Linked DNA regions of Bombyx mori. The protein of the gene in region 3 purifies or fractionates together with the protein of the main gene of each other region. This does not show direct contact. Links are inferred from orthologs where the notes say so. Each region holds a gene or a part of one and is shown on either strand. Other genes may lie near its edges.

Region 1 (4,037 bases), on a different chromosome or scaffold from region 3:
ATTGGAAAAATATATTTACATAATACGCGATTTTTCTTCAATATTAATTTGTTTTCTTTTTCTTTGCGACATTTTGAAAGTTTCACGAATAACTCCACAAAGTTTTGGTGCGTCTTGTGTATAGATAAGTAACAAACTAACTGAAGAGATATGAAGAAGCGGGCTTTGACTACCGCATGCACGTGTTTTGTTTCTAAGAATTAGAAAAGACCCTACACTAAACTAAATCCTATTGTTTTCTTTCCTGATTTTAATAGCCATTGAAGACAAATGTGGATACCTATTCAAATAGTTTACAATACAGCTAGCCGGTCGTTCTAACAGATCTAATTCTCCGAAATATTAGTTAAATGTGGTTGTTTTATGAGGTATGTCGTTATTACCAATATTTTTAATAAGGCGGTCATATGGCATTCAGCCGGGACCTTTGTTCTTGGTTATTATAACCGGCATGTTGTATTAAACGATGTCGCAGTAAACGGTTTTGACTGTAACTATTTTTTTTAATTAGTAACTACACCAACATGCAGCGCACACTGATCAAAGATCCTCACAGTACTAATTAAAGTTAAAATAATACTTTTCAAGGTTTTCTATTGGGGCTAGAAAATCAAGGGTGTCCTTTACAATATAAATAAATGAATGATTATCTGCAAATGAGCATTGCCTATTTGTAATGTCTGTCCTATTTAAGGATTTCAATTATTACATTTAATTGAATACCATTAGCAAATGGAATTATTTTTATGCTTTTTTTGCTCAACAAGATCCCACTAAACGTTCAACTACTACCTGTTCGTAGATTTAAGAAAACTGTTTAAAGCTAAGGATTATTTACTAGATGGCACTACGTGGGAATGAGGCGCTCACTCCTGGCCTTTTCATTTTTCATTATTATAATTTTTTTTTTAATTGTATTTTTTTGACTTGTTTTTTCTTTTATTGTGAATATTTCTATTTATTTAAAAAAAAGAAAATATTTGAGAAAAAAACAAAAAAAAAAGCCTGCTGAGTTTGTTTCGCCGGTTCTTCTCAGGACTGTGGCTTTTTTTGGAACCGGTGGTAGAGTTAACATTGTTATTTGTATTTTGACATTCAACAAGTGTGTCATACTGACATCTAAGTTGAAATAAATGATTTTGAATTTGAATTTGAATTTGCTTAGATGGTAAATGTGCTCATAGACCACCAGATGTTAAGTGATTACAGAACTTACAGACATCACAACATAAATTCTGTCACCCACCTTGAAACATGAGATTGTGATCTTAATTGATTTATTTAATGCCTTCAAACTTGAACACGTAACTGCTTAGTGATAGAAATACAGTGCTACAGTATTGCAACACGTGTTATCACCATTATACATTGATATATTATTATGTATATTGGATATTGAAAAATTTATCCATGTTTATAATACATGTTATTAGGATTTGAAATAATCGTTATTCTAAAAATGGTGAAATAGATTATTTTAAATTTTAAAATATAAATGTTATTCCTATTCTAAATTGAAAGAAAGAGCACACCCACACTAAAACTGGAAAGAATGTCACATACCTCTATGCAGGAATGAAAATCTTTAATTTCATTCCTGGATGAAAGTGTGTTTTTAATGTACCCTGCTTGATTCTAAGACCTTTCTGATTTTGAAAGGCCCAAGATAATTTTGCAGGGATGATTTTTTTAATTTTGAATAATTCTGTAAACTCCCAAATTTACCTCAATGACTAATTAATTTAATCTTCAATGTTATTGTTGTTACTAAATTGATTTGAATGAGCTAAGCATTGGACCTACAGAATGTTGATGCATTTCAAACCCATACCCTGATTAATTGTCCCGTTTTGTTTCTGAATGAGAACTCATAGTTTATTTGTATTGTATTAAAAAAAAATTATCCAATTGAATTGTTAGTGGGTACATTTGTTTTTGATATTACGCACCAGGTTTCTGAATTTTGCATTTAGTGCACAACCTGTGATGCAAGATGTGTTTTTTTCAAAAAGGCTAATGATCTGATGTAAGTACATAATATTAAAATATGATAAATTTTGTTCAGAGTATTAGTACTTTTTGGTGATGATCAAAATTTTATTTAAATATATTCATATGTCCATATAATTTTAGTTTTGTTCAGTTCATCAATTTAACATGAAGCTAGTACCACCGCAGAACTTACTAGTTAAGGAATAGGATTAGGACTCACCAAGGGGCTTGGGTTTAATGGAGTGTTCGTCTTCTTTATCGGCTAGAAAACGCATTTAAAGTATTAAATTTGTCTAATGATTTCCCATTATTTCGTCATTTGTGTGCAACAAATTTGTTAGAAAAAATAATTTCCTTTTAAATTAACGTTAACAAATACCTTATTTTATTATTGGTGATACATTTAAAGACCAACGAAGCATGGTGTAATTATAACCTATAATGGAGATAGCCGGAAATTTAATACCTTTCGTGTGAAGCGCCTTCAACCCGCAGCCGCAGCTGCAAGTATTGGAATGGTTGTGTAGCAAGCTGGTGGAAGCCAGGGTCCCATCTAACCTTCGAGAGCAGCTCATGTGCCATATACCCCTAGTAAAGTCGCGTTTCACAGCCGTCTGTGTGCGACTAACCAACCCGCTTAAGTTCGCAGTTTTAACGCATGTTTGCAGCACTCTATGGGTCGCTTTAACTATGCCGCTCATTTTTCCTGCTTATTGAACTTAATGTTCACTTTTCTAAATTTTTTTACAAAACTTTAGTCAGGTTGAAAAAGTGAATGAGAATTGAGACCACAGACGACTTTAGTTGTTTCACGATTCGTCTATTGGAGGGGCAAAGGAATAGCCTATACAAGATTTTTGCTTCGGAAAAGCTGAAGTCAGTGCTTAAAAACTATAAATGAAATAATTATGGACATGAAATTGAATGAAATGAAATAGATTTAAATGAGAGGATGCAACATTTTAGGAGTTGGATGAGATGAATATTTTTAACATAATATGAAACTGAATCTTCTGTTTCGTAAGGTGGAACCGTGTATTTAAAGTTAAAATAAATATAAAGAAAAAACTGGTAGTAATATATGCGACATGCATGCATGGATAGATATCGACCTTTCCCTATTGTTAATACATGCCTATGCCAGTTTTGTTTCTCAAGGTGGGTGATGGCATATCCTGAACTCATTCCCGGTCTGGCGCAATCGAATACTTTGTGTCAAATGGCGGGAGTCTGTAAATAATTTACTTAATTTAAATCAAATTATTTCTTTAATTTAAATCAAACTTTTTCATTCGCTCCGGTTTTTTTTTACCTAACTAAGCTGAGCCTTGAGAGGCTATATCAGCATCGCCTTAACTAATAGGTGAGCTCACGGGGCTCAAACTTGATGATAGCAATGTCATCAAGTTTGAGCCCCGTGAACACGAATCCTAGCAAGAGCCATGCTTCGCAGAATCTATCACCGGATCGGAATCGCGACCCACTGAGAAGATCCGTCGAGAAACTCAGTGGGCTGTGGCTATGTCTGAGGGTTAAACGCTTCGAGAGTTAATTGCATAAAACCAGCTGTTTTATTCTATTTCTGAACATTTGTGAAAGTGCACAAAAATGAAACAAATCCATTGAATGTAGTTTTTCGTAAAATGAGTTTTTCGGGTTCGGTATTTTTTAAAATTTAAACGTGATTTGCGGTTTAATCTCGCTTTTATTATTTTTATTTCACTACTGCTAACGTTTAAATGAGGTAAAATTAGATAAGACCATCACAAGTGATCATTTATCATTTCTGGTGACATAAAATAACTTTTCAGTAAAATGACGAGTACATCTAGAGCCACCTGGACTTTTTTAAAACTCGATAAATTTTGTTAAATAGACTTCGGGTGTGTGTTACATAAGATAACGTACGGGCAACATTCCCCTTGCTAGCCCATTGGAACGATAAAAATTTAGGATAAGTTTTTGACAATTGACATTTAACAACTTGGACTTGGTTGGAACGTGTTTTTATTCAAGCTATACAATATTAAACGCAAATTAAATTA
Region 2 (4,052 bases), on a different chromosome or scaffold from region 3:
CTACTGTCAGCTGGCTTCGTCTAATTAAAAATCCGACTATAGTTGTGACAGTGGATTTTTTAGTTGCTACAATCCCATCTCAGCTCATTTTATTTAGTGTCATCCCAATTTATTACAGTCTAAATCAATTTCACCTTATTACGCACCATATCATTTTTTAAAAAATAGTTAATAAAAGATAGGCTGTAATGATGTTTCATGAAGACCTTTGGGAAATGAACTCTACTGTCAGTTACTGAAAGAAAAAGTCCTGACAGTTGACAACTTGACACGATATTTCAAGATTGTCACTTTGTCGTACAGTTGCCAGATGGGGGGGAATTCCTGCAAATTCGGGGGTTTTTTGACCTTGAAGATGAGATTCGGCGGGGAAGATTCTTTAGGGGACATTTGGGGGGAAAAAGGTAGTTGGGAGAAATTTCGGAGGTTTTTTGAGCACTATATAATTCATCCACAAACACAATTCCCATCACTATTAGAATATTTATAATCTACTATACGTATTATGCACAAAACAATATTATAAAGGAAAAATTACGCAACCGGATGAATAGGCAATAGAAACTGTCGAAGCGGTTCTCGAGATTCAATATTCACTGCCATAAGGATCCATAAATTTTGTTCCCACATCGGACATGTAAGATTTTTAATCTTTAACTCCGAAAACGTGTATTCTTTATATAATAAAAACGAAAGTGAATATGATTGTAAAAAATTTTTTAGAGGTGGTTGAAGTTATGGGATAGCTTGATTAAAAAATAAAAAAGATGTGGTGTCGTGGGACACCAGGTAGGAACGAAGTTCCTTGGGCTAATGTAGAATCGACACAATTTGCAAAAAAAGAAATGGTGCTCAATTTTATGTAGGTTTTCTTGGTTTTTCTCTTAAATTTTGCTGATTAGTTTTTATTTAAGCACGGGAAAGTATTTAGGAAATTGAGTATTTTAGAAAATAATAAATTACGTAAAATAAAAAAAATAGTAATTCAAATTATCAATTAAAATAACAAAATATATCTCTTTATTTTTGGTTGACAACATAAAATTACATAGAAATAGAAATAATTACTAAATAGAGAGAGAAGGGATTAGAGAACGAAAAGTAAGAAGGAGAAAGAGAAAGGTATATACACTACTCGCTTGTGTATGCGACTGTCGCGCCTGCGCACGTCTCATTTAACGGTTTTATTCCACGCACTTTTTTCCACGGATTTTTTCTTACGGTTTTACTATCACATTTTTTTCAGTTCGGTCGCGCAGCAAAATCCCTATCCCCTCCAAGCTTGCCGTAAGGAACTTCGTTCCAATAAAAGAATACTTTTGTATTTTATTTCTTCATTAAATTAAGTAAAAGCTGTTTTGGTTTTTTTTTTCAAAAAGCTTATTTTTCGGGGGGTTTTAAAAAAAAGTTGGAGGGAAATTCACACGGTCATCTGACAGCACTGCTTTGTCGCAAGATTTCGGAGTTGAAGACATTGAAAATTTATTCAAAGCTTGTTGAGTTTGCTATCGTTTTTTCTGTTCTAAACGTAAAATACGATTTCGTAAACAAAAGCATAAAGAGAAAAGTCAAAGATTTGTGATACGCACAGTGATTTTATTATGAACCGTCGTAGAGGACATGATGATGAAGAAGGATATGGTGAGTTGTTAAGATCAAACATATACAGGTTATATTTAATTTTATTTGTACATTGTGAAGTATGTAATTGTTTTTACTATTTTCAGAACGCCTCCATCGGAAAAGGCGTCGTGTATCTGAAAACCAAGAAATCGAGGATCGCTTAGAGTCCTTAATTTTAAGAGTTGGCGAAAAAAGTAGTTCCAGTTTGGAGAGTAACCTAGAAGGATTAGCAAGTGTACTGGAAGCCGATTTGAGTACCTTTAGAGTTAAAATACTACGGATACTAACGGATTGTGCTATCCGCATGCCCGAGAAATGTACAATCTATGCAACTCTTGTTGGTTTGTTGAATGCAAAGAATTATAACTTTGGTGGAGAATTTGTTGATTACATAGTAAAAACCTTTAAAGAAAATCTTAAAGTCGGGAAATGGAATGCTGCTAGGTATTGTCTAAGGTTCATTGCGGACTTGGTGAACTGTCACGTATTGGCTGCTTCATCATTGCTGACTTTATTAGAGACATTAGTAGATTCTGCTAATGAAGATGGAGTACCTCACGTCAGAAGGGATTGGTTTGTATTTGCGGTGCTGTCAGCATTACCTTGGGTTGGTCGGGAGTTGTATGAAAAGAAGGAATCTCAATTAGATCACTTACTTGTGACTATAGAGGTTTTCTTGAATAAACGGAGTAAGAAACATTGGCCAGCCTTAAAGGTGTGGTCGGCTGATTCACCTCATTTACAAGAAGAATATTTGGATTGCCTCTGGTCTCAGATAAAGAAGTTGAAACAAGACAATTGGTCAGAGAAACATATTCCAAGGCCATATCTTGCCTTTGACTCTATTCTTTGTGAAGCTTTACAACACACACTTCCTGCCATTCAGGTATCATATGAATTTATAATAGATATACTATGATTTTCTAATACAAATTAGTTAAAGTTTACATACTTTGGTTTTGTTCGATTATGGTATTCGATTATGGTATTTATATGGTTCATTACCACCAAAGTACAGTTTACTAGTTATATCTGGAGCTGCCCACTTCTAGTGCATTTTATTTAATTTACCTTACACACACTTTGGAACTAGAAGTAACTTGCCCTGTGGAAGTTCGAGGCTTGAAGAACATGTGTTTCTTCAAGCAAAGGTTGCAGACTAATTTATTTCAGCTTGTGTGCCAGGGGTGCCATAAATAAATGTTACATGTAAAGATTGACTAATAAATGCGGTAACAAAACTAATAAAAAGTTAACTTTTTTTAAAAAGTTGCACCAATATAATATTTTCGTTTACAAATCATATGGTAATAATTGATGATGTTTTTATATTTCAGCCACCACCCCATAATGACACTGATACTTATCCAATGCCTCGGGTTATATTCCGTATGTTTGACTACACAGACTGTCCAGACGGACCAGTTTTGCCTGGAGTGCACTCTATAGAGAGATTCTTGATAGAAGAACATTTGCACAATATTATTGAGACATATCATTTAGAACGTAAAGAATGTGCTGCTCAACTCCTCTGCTTTCCTTACAAAGCCAAAATTCCTCTGGAATATTGCATAGTTGAGGTGATATTTGCTGAATTATTTAATTTGCCAAAACCAAGGTATTTGGAGATATGTTATGGTTCAATATTAATTGAACTTTGCAAGCTTCAGCCATCAACAATGCCACAGGTTCTAGCTCAAGCTACTGAAATTTTGTTCATGAGGATTGACACCATGAATGTTGCTTGCTTTGACAGGTATGTTAACCTTGGATGAAATTTGAATACATTGATAGTTTCATTTTAATTTTGTGGACTCAAGACACTTACACCTTATCTTTTAATTTATATTTTTCTTTAAATGTATGTATGTGCATGTGTATAGCTATGGGATAATTAATGAACAATATAAAATTTTATTTTGGGGTTTTCTGTTCAAGCATATTTCACAAAATGATACAATGTTGAATAGAAGAATGTTGTTATCTTAAATATCACTTAAAGAAGATTACAGTTGAATAGTAAATAATATTTTAAAGTAGTCTTTTTTTTAAGGTTTGCGAACTGGTTTGCCTACCATTTGAGCAACTTCCAGTACAGATGGTCATGGGAAGATTGGGAGGCGTGTCTCCAATTAGATCCTGAACATCCAAAACCCAGGTTTATCAGAGAGGTCCTCGGAAAATGTCTAAGGCAAGTTTATGAAAGTTTCCCTTATATATTCTATGCTAACATTTTGCGAACATGACAATAATAATATAATAAACATATAAGTGAATTTCAATATTATATTAACAAAAACACGAAAATAAAATATATTTCTAGTAAATTAAAAACTAAAATTTGATGTCTCAAAGCTGTTTTTATATCGACAATTTACAATTAATAGTGATAATATGAAATACTTATTTGTGATTTTTCAGGCTATCTT
Region 3 (3,515 bases):
CAAGCCATTTAAGCTTGCACCGTATTTAACTGTGTTTAGAACTTATTTTTGGGACCTAGATTTTTTTTTAAATCTGGAAATGAGTTATATGATAAGTCGTGTGCTTTTAAAAATTCTTTGAGTGTTTCGGAATAATAGAAACACTGCATGTCATTTGGATTCTATGTATATTGAAACACCACAGTTATCACCGGGTCAAGTAATTACACAGTATTGGTTTTATAATTCTGAATTGTATCAACCGCAGAAAAATTAAATCAAAATTCCATATCTGTCAATAAGTCTATATAACTTGAGTGCGTGTGTGTTTTTTGGTCATAGACTTAATGGTTATAGTGGTGGCAATGTTGCCTCATGCTCATTGTTTCATTTTGAGTTATCTCTTGAAGAAGATACGAGTCCGTAGAGACGGTTTAATATGAACATCATTTAAAAAATTGCTTATTTTTGCTAAAATGTAATTCGAAAATTAAAAATAATATTAATACACTAAAACCATAGTTATCGCTCTAACGTTATTTGAGTCGTCTATTATCAAAGGTGGCAATCTGTACATTTGGACAAAAACTTTTTATTGATATGTCAATACAGATTTATTTGAATATAATCGTCTCCTTCAAAGAATACGGTTCAAAACCTGCATTAAATAAAGGTTAATAGTTAACCTGTTATTTATCTAAGATGTCGTTCCGAAGAGTTTTGTGACTGCCAATATAATACAAAGTAAATAATTCGTTTTTCTGATTTACCAATCATTGTCCAAAAGTCAGATTGCCGCCTTTGATAATAGTCGACTCATTTTAAGTTGTGAGAGCCAAATAAAATTAACAAATTTAACGTATATTCCAGATATCCTCACGACCGCAATAGGCTTCAACGAAGAATGCTGTGTTCCACAACGTTGGATGCCGAACGGACCGGACCCAACTTTGGACTTGGTCATAGCCCTCATGTGCATGGGCCTGTACCCTAACGTTTGTCTACACCAAGGGAAGAGGAAGGTAACCATATCTAATACTGTACTGTAGATTGGGGGAAATAGGGACTAAGGGTAGAATAGGGACAAATCTTGGTTGTCACAATGCTTTTGTGAGATTTAAATTTGTTGAATAGAAAAGCAGTTTTATTTGGTGCTTAAGAATATAATAAATAGTTTGATGTAGTCACCAAAGTTTTGTAACTGATTAAAGATATTGAAAAGTTAATTACCTAAAGGTAAGTACCTACCTAACAACTAAAAAAACTGCCAGCCCTATCGATAATCTTGTCCCCCTACGTGACCCGATTCACCCCAAAAGCCAAGGTGAATCAGGTCAAGCTAGTTTTTTAAGTTTTGTGTATATTTTTCAATGTCTAATAGCGCATCGTATATGAAAATATAAACCCCTGGAACTATTTTAATCTCAATTATATTAGCCTAAGAAAAACCGCTGAAAATTTGTGTTGGATTTGAAAAGCATCCCGGTTCCCCCCAATCTATTGTAATATTTATTTATTTATTTCACTTTCACACTAGTGATTGGCTACTATGAGGCCAATGACCTTGTCGTTTAAAAGTAAGAATGAATCTATTTGTCGTTATAAAAATGAATGTGTCCCTGTACTTTTTTATTAAGCAGTAAGCAAATAAATTAACGAGTCTTTTTTTTAGCTTATGGCCTGGTATCTAGGACCTTTAGGCCAATTAACGAATCTTTTTAAAACACAGTGTTGCCATGGAAACCAATGTAATTTCAGGTATTAACGACGGAAGGGAAACCGGCATTGATACACAAGACCTCAGTGAACTGCAGCAACATGGAGCAGAAGTTCCCCTCGCCTCTGTTCGTTTTCGGCGAGAAGGTGCGCACCCGGGCCATCAGCTGCAAGCAGACCACCATGGTCGCTCCCATACATCTGCTGCTCTTCGGCTGTAACAAAGTGGAATGGGTTAGTTCGTCGATCTTCATTTTTGAAGTGAAACCTCTTTAGAATCGTTGCGATTTTAAACCCGATGAAACGAAAAAATAAGTCCATAGAGACACAAACACATAAATGTATAGGATATAGGTTATCATAATATGATTTGCTGTCAATACACTTACACTTTACCATCATCATCATCAGCTTAAATATTATTTATATTACTATACTTTATACCACAGACCTAATTCAATGAACGCCAAGACTTAATTTTATGCACAACAAAATATAATAAGCAGGTATATCGGCAACGAAACACTTAATAATATCCACAATGCGCACGAGTGCGAAAACGACTGATCAAATGTAAAACGTAAATAAACATTAAACAAGCGTTTTGTTTTTGCTTATGATCGGTAATTATTGATCAATGTAATGATTTATTCTACGGATTTAAAAGTATAAAAATAGATTTTTGTTTAGATATAATTTTTTATATTAGTTTTAAAATCCATTAATTAAATATGTTGATATTTTGCTTGTTTTTTTGCAATATAATGTCTTTTTTAAGAAGATTTAATGTGGATTGTTTAAAATATAAATATATTTTACCTATGGCAACTCCTTCAATATTATCAATGTAGCTTAGTCATGCTAATTTCTTTTTATTTATGATTTTAATAATCCCACCATTAAAATACCCTTAAATTTCCCTTAAATTTTATAATAAATATGTAAAATTGAAATGTTTTTTTCTATAGATATTTCATTCGTGTCCTTGAAAGCACTAGTAGCTGGGCCGAAAATGGCCCATGTCCTTTGTTCTAAAATAAAGCATTATTTGTGAGGGTGTTTTTATAAAGAGGATATTCTACGTAAATGAAGAGGTGGGTTAAATTTAGCGTTATGCCAAACTAACTATTCCACGCGGACGAAGTCGCGGGCAAAAGCTAGTATGTTATAAAATAGTGTTATTAAAATATTATTATTTTTTCACCAAGGTGGACAACGTGGTGCGGCTGGACAACTGGCTGAACTTCCAGATGTCGCCGCGATCGGCCGCCCTCATCATAGCGCTGCGGCCCGCCATCGAGAGGATCGTGGAGCGCGCGGCGGCCCAACCCGACGCGGCGCTGCAGTTCTCGCCGGCAGAGCGAAAGGTGACCAAACCGCGCACTCACAGAAATACTTACATACGACATGTCCTTCTTCAAACGAGGCTTGTGGAGAGTATTAAGCGGTAGGCAGCGGCTTGGCTCTGCCCCTGGCATTGCTGAAGTCCATGGGCGATGGTAGCCACTCACCATCATGTGGGCCGTATGCTTGTCTGCCTACAGGGACAATAAAAAAAAATCTCAAATATATTTTATACTTCCTCGTTGCGTCGATAATCCTCAATGCTGAGGGTTGTGACCTCATGAGGATTTCTTGGGAAAATACACGTGGTAGGGTCCCGCGTCATGTCACGGGAGTGCTTTTGGAAGAGATTTAGTTTTTCGAGGCCGCTGAAGCCTTATATGGCTCCGGACATTCGACGTTGACTGTTTTATGGCGGAAACGGTTGAACTTCAACTCAATCATCCCCTTTTCTCATCCGGGCTTGAGACCGGCAT
Region 4 (3,988 bases), about 2.0 Mb from region 3:
GTTATAACACCAATTACATAATTTGAATTTTTACTCTTGATTATTGAACGGGTTTTTTATTCCTTAACATTGTTATAAGTTAAGACTGTTTTACATTTATTTTTAGAAATTAAATACGATTAACCTTAGTTTGTACACAAATTTCAAATTGAAATGTCAAAAATTTCCGTTGAATGTTGTTGCCTCAATTTTTTTAATGACTGGGATAAATGACAACCGAGTATCCTTCCATAAGTTGTGAAAAAAATTTTTTTTTAACAATATACTGAGTTGTACAAAACACGGCGATTAAAGCAAATGATGAACTGGAGTACATGTTTTCTTAATTGTTTTATCCTACAACATATTTTTTTCTGAACCTCCCAGCTCTGAACATAGAGGCGACCATAGAGGATGTTGCTAATGCTCTTGCATCTTTTCAGAGTGGTTCTGCTGGCGGGCTTGATAGCCTAACTCCACAGCACCTTAAAGATCTAACTAGTGGCAGCTGTGGCGCCGTCGGCCAGTCGCTTTTAAAAGGCTTAAAAGATTTAATTAATTTTATGCTTTCGGGTAAAGTCAATGATAAAATCATAGACATTCCTACGACTAGGTATTTTGAATTTACAAATATTAAATCATAATTGTAGATGATGTAATTGTAGGATAATTAGTAATAAAATACAATAAAAGACTTGCATTGCCCGAGTTTATGTATGCAAATACGATTCGAAAAAAATAGCTGTCATAATTTCATCCACTATCAGTTTTAAAACGAACAAAAACGCTTTTTTTGTTGTGGTTGTTTGATGGATAAATCTACTCAAGGCTTTCTTGGTATAATAAGTGATAAAGTGAATAAATTGTCCTTAATCTATAAATATAACAAAATGAATGCCGACATCCATTTGGGTCATGAAGTTGAAGTTGAAGTATTTTTTGAAACTGAAACCCACGGCTGCTTCGTAGCCGAAATGGGCAGAATGATAATAACTAGAGATTGTTACTGTAATTGTTGGATTGTAGCTAAGGGATTACAATGTGCCATACTATTAATAAATAAACATAGTTAACAATTAAGAATATACTTTTGAGACCATGGTGAAAAATGTTATAATGTTTTCATAACGAGTATTATATTATATATAGTACGACTTGAAAATTTTAACGTATAACATTTTTTTAACTCTCTTTTCCAAAGCAAGCGAGGCTAAAACAAACTGTGTAGCTCAAAATTAGCCCTACTTATTTATTATATTCTACTTAATACTATAGTCAGAAATAAAAACGCTTAGCTTTTTAAATACAAATGTGAAATACCTCGGCTTCCATTTAAATAATAGCTTGTCGGCCATAGTATTTGCTAAATTGGAAAAGATTTTAGTGTAAGTATTTTAAATCTATGTTCCCTTGGTCTATGCAACCCAAACAATAAAAAAAACATTCCAGCCACACACAAGCATCAAAGCTGTAACTTAACCTCAAAATAATTATAATAGGGGAGCAAACGTAACGCACGTGTTTGTTTTTCCCCTAAATAATATGATAATGATTATGATATAAAACTACTAAAATGGTGCGTATTAAAACGATGTGTTATGACTTTGTTACGCTATTGTGAGTTATTTAAACCAATTTACATTGCAGAGTAAGTTCTATGTGTTATTCGAACACAGCGCGGGCTTTGCGTTGTTCCGCGTTGCTGAATTTGAAGAGTTAGCGGCTTTCCTGCCTCAGGTCGAAGAGTCCGTGACAGATTTGCAACGTTTTAATGCTGTTGTGACTTTAATAGCTTTCCAACCACACAAGTCGGCGATCGTTGCTTTGGAAAATATCAACGCGGTATCTGAAGGTTAGTTTTCGACTTCTCCTTGTCTTGTACTTTTAGTACTAATTTGGAATTTCGAAATATTTGATGTTTCGTCAATGTGTTGTTAAACTCCGAAGAGTCGTTAATGTGTCTGCAAGCTATCGACCTTGATTTAAGCTTACAAAGCCTCCACTACTATAAGTTAAAATTCTAGGGTCAGCAGACTAAAGCACATAAGTCAAAAAACTCTACTTTACAGGAATTAAAAAAAACTATTTAGAATCTTATACATTAACAAACTTAATAATGTTTATTTGAATTATATAAGTTTATAACACTAACTTATTATTAAAATTAAATATTTTAAAGTAAATGTGATTATTTAATAATTAGATGACTTAAGTTATAAGGAACACAATAATAGTATGAGTTAAGTGAAAAAGATCAACAATTAAGATATATATTATAATAATATAAGTCATAAATATAAATAACAACTCAATGTTTAATTAAAATTCTTCTTCTTATTCTATTATTCTTCTTCTTCTAAATATCTGGATCAGTATTTCGTAAAGTTTCCAACGTGGGAAGACTTATGTAAAATTCATGGAAAATATCTAGTATTAAAGGGAGCAGCGAAATTAAATCATTTTTTTTCTCGATGAATATGGGTAATGGCTGTATAGATATTATATCATCAGTTTGAGATCCCCCAATGGATGATCTCCTTTTCATAGCAAATGTCTTTATAAAATTGTCACTTTCATCTAACGGTTTCATTAAACATCCTCGGCAGACAGGTTCACCTTTACCATGCACAGTAAAAAAGTATTTTTATGTCTTCATTCTAAGCTTTTGCTTTTCAGTTTCAATAGCTCGTATTCTTTGTTTAGATTTATCTTGAATTTCCATTAAAGACGCCAAGTATGCAGATGTTTTTGCATATGACCCCATTTGCCAATATTCTGTAAATATGGCACGCCTATCAGTTAATGGTATACGTTCTTTACATTTCATTCTGCAAACAGGTAACTCTTTCAAATTCAAAATCATTTATTTCAACTTAGATGTCAGTATAACACACTTATTGAATGTCAAAATATAAATAACAATGTTATCTCTACCACCGGTTCCAAAAAAAGCCACAGTCCTGAGAAGAACCGGCGAAACAAACTCAGCGGGCTTTTTTTTTTGTTTTTTCTCAAAAATAAATTTTTAATTCATAGTGCGATCTGATATACATTTTCCTTTTAAAGTTTTGTATGCCTGTCCTAAGTTACGTTTTATTCTTTTTTCTTTTTTTATAGTACGTATACTCTTTTTTGGAGACACATTAGGATTCATTGAAATTTCATCACAAGTACTTGAACTTGATGTGATTGGAAGTCTCGGTAATTCATAACATGGATATCGTACAGAATCATCACTAGAGAAGTCAAGTACAGAATAGTATGTTAAGCTACTGACTTGACCTGATGATGTCGACGGTATAGGATCGTCTACTACTAGGTTCTACTAGAACTCTGTGTTCAAAATCGACTGTTGATTTACATTTTCTAAAAAAGGACAAGACAATTAATTATCTATTTATAATGATATAATATTGATATAATTACGTAATTTGCAAATCATAATTTTGAAGATATGTGAAAATATACCTTCATTGCTTTCCAGATGAGTGGATGATGCCATTTCAACTAATTTCTTGCCTCTTTGAATATTCATCTTAAATAATTAAAATACTTAAGCACTCACACAAAACTAACCAACAAACTGTGCACAATCGACAACATTAGTAAATTAAAACCACTTACCGAAGTATTGTTTACGTTATAAATATTTTTAAGTAACCACTTTCTCTAAAGAAATGTTACATTTTGATGTTCTTTATAACATAAGTCAGACTTCTTACGTTAATAACTTTGTACTTATGGTGTTCCTTAGAACATAAGTCCAGTTATGTTTTTTAGTTCGTTTGACTATATTAGGATTTGATAAGGTTGATACAGAACGCCGCTTGAATACGCCATGAAATACTTGAGTTTGATTTATGTGCTTTAGTCAGATTGTGTGTTGAGCAAAATGTAAACCGATGATGTAATAAAAAATAAATTGAAAATTTTGACTTATGTGCTTTAGTCTGCCGACCCTAGAATTATCATACGGATTCATTAAGGTTTCTCGGGAGTAAATATTAAT

The links. The genes of interacting proteins can lie anywhere in the genome.
Region 1: the proteins of MLE (region 3) and mitochondrial matrix protein p33 purify together in Homo sapiens (affinity purification with mass spectrometry; 3 studies listed by BioGRID and IntAct, with this or other methods). This does not show direct contact. The link is inferred for Bombyx mori from reciprocal best matches to the Homo sapiens genes DHX9 and C1QBP.
Region 2: the proteins of MLE (region 3) and nuclear cap-binding protein subunit 1 purify together in Homo sapiens (co-immunoprecipitation; 3 studies listed by BioGRID and IntAct, with this or other methods). This does not show direct contact. The link is inferred for Bombyx mori from reciprocal best matches to the Homo sapiens genes DHX9 and NCBP1.
Region 4: the proteins of MLE (region 3) and nucleolar protein 56 purify together in Homo sapiens (affinity purification with mass spectrometry; 3 studies listed by BioGRID and IntAct, with this or other methods). This does not show direct contact. The link is inferred for Bombyx mori from reciprocal best matches to the Homo sapiens genes DHX9 and NOP56.

What each region holds. Positions count from the first base shown.
Region 1 is NC_085114.1:15,035,375-15,039,411, forward strand, and holds the start of mitochondrial matrix protein p33, read right to left. Parts: upstream 2,804-4,037; 5' UTR 2,694-2,803; coding exon 2,459-2,693; intron 2,255-2,458; coding exon 2,213-2,254; intron 1-2,212.
Region 2 is NC_085127.1:11,154,182-11,158,233, forward strand, and holds the start of nuclear cap-binding protein subunit 1, read left to right. Parts: upstream 1-1,249; 5' UTR 1,250-1,601; coding exon 1,602-1,641; intron 1,642-1,727; coding exon 1,728-2,509; intron 2,510-2,960; coding exon 2,961-3,379; intron 3,380-3,676; coding exon 3,677-3,814; intron 3,815-4,044; coding exon 4,045-4,052. UniProt on the Homo sapiens protein: Component of the cap-binding complex (CBC), which binds cotranscriptionally to the 5'-cap of pre-mRNAs and is involved in various processes such as pre-mRNA splicing, translation regulation, nonsense-mediated mRNA decay, RNA-mediated gene silencing (RNAi) by microRNAs (miRNAs) and mRNA export.
Region 3 is NC_085132.1:4,401,518-4,405,032, forward strand, and holds part of MLE (MLE protein), read left to right. Parts: intron 1-849; coding exon 850-1,001; intron 1,002-1,737; coding exon 1,738-1,929; intron 1,930-2,903; coding exon 2,904-3,062; intron 3,063-3,515. UniProt on the Homo sapiens protein: Multifunctional ATP-dependent nucleic acid helicase that unwinds DNA and RNA in a 3' to 5' direction and that plays important roles in many processes, such as DNA replication, transcriptional activation, post-transcriptional RNA regulation, mRNA translation and RNA-mediated gene silencing.
Region 4 is NC_085132.1:2,385,145-2,389,132, reverse strand, and holds the start of nucleolar protein 56, read left to right. Parts: upstream 1-1,185; 5' UTR 1,186-1,552; coding exon 1,553-1,555; intron 1,556-1,626; coding exon 1,627-1,831; intron 1,832-2,158; exon of another isoform or gene 2,159-3,514; intron 3,515-3,603; exon of another isoform or gene 3,604-3,945; intron 3,946-3,988. UniProt on the Homo sapiens protein: Involved in the early to middle stages of 60S ribosomal subunit biogenesis. Required for the biogenesis of box C/D snoRNAs such U3, U8 and U14 snoRNAs. Part of the small subunit (SSU) processome, first precursor of the small eukaryotic ribosomal subunit.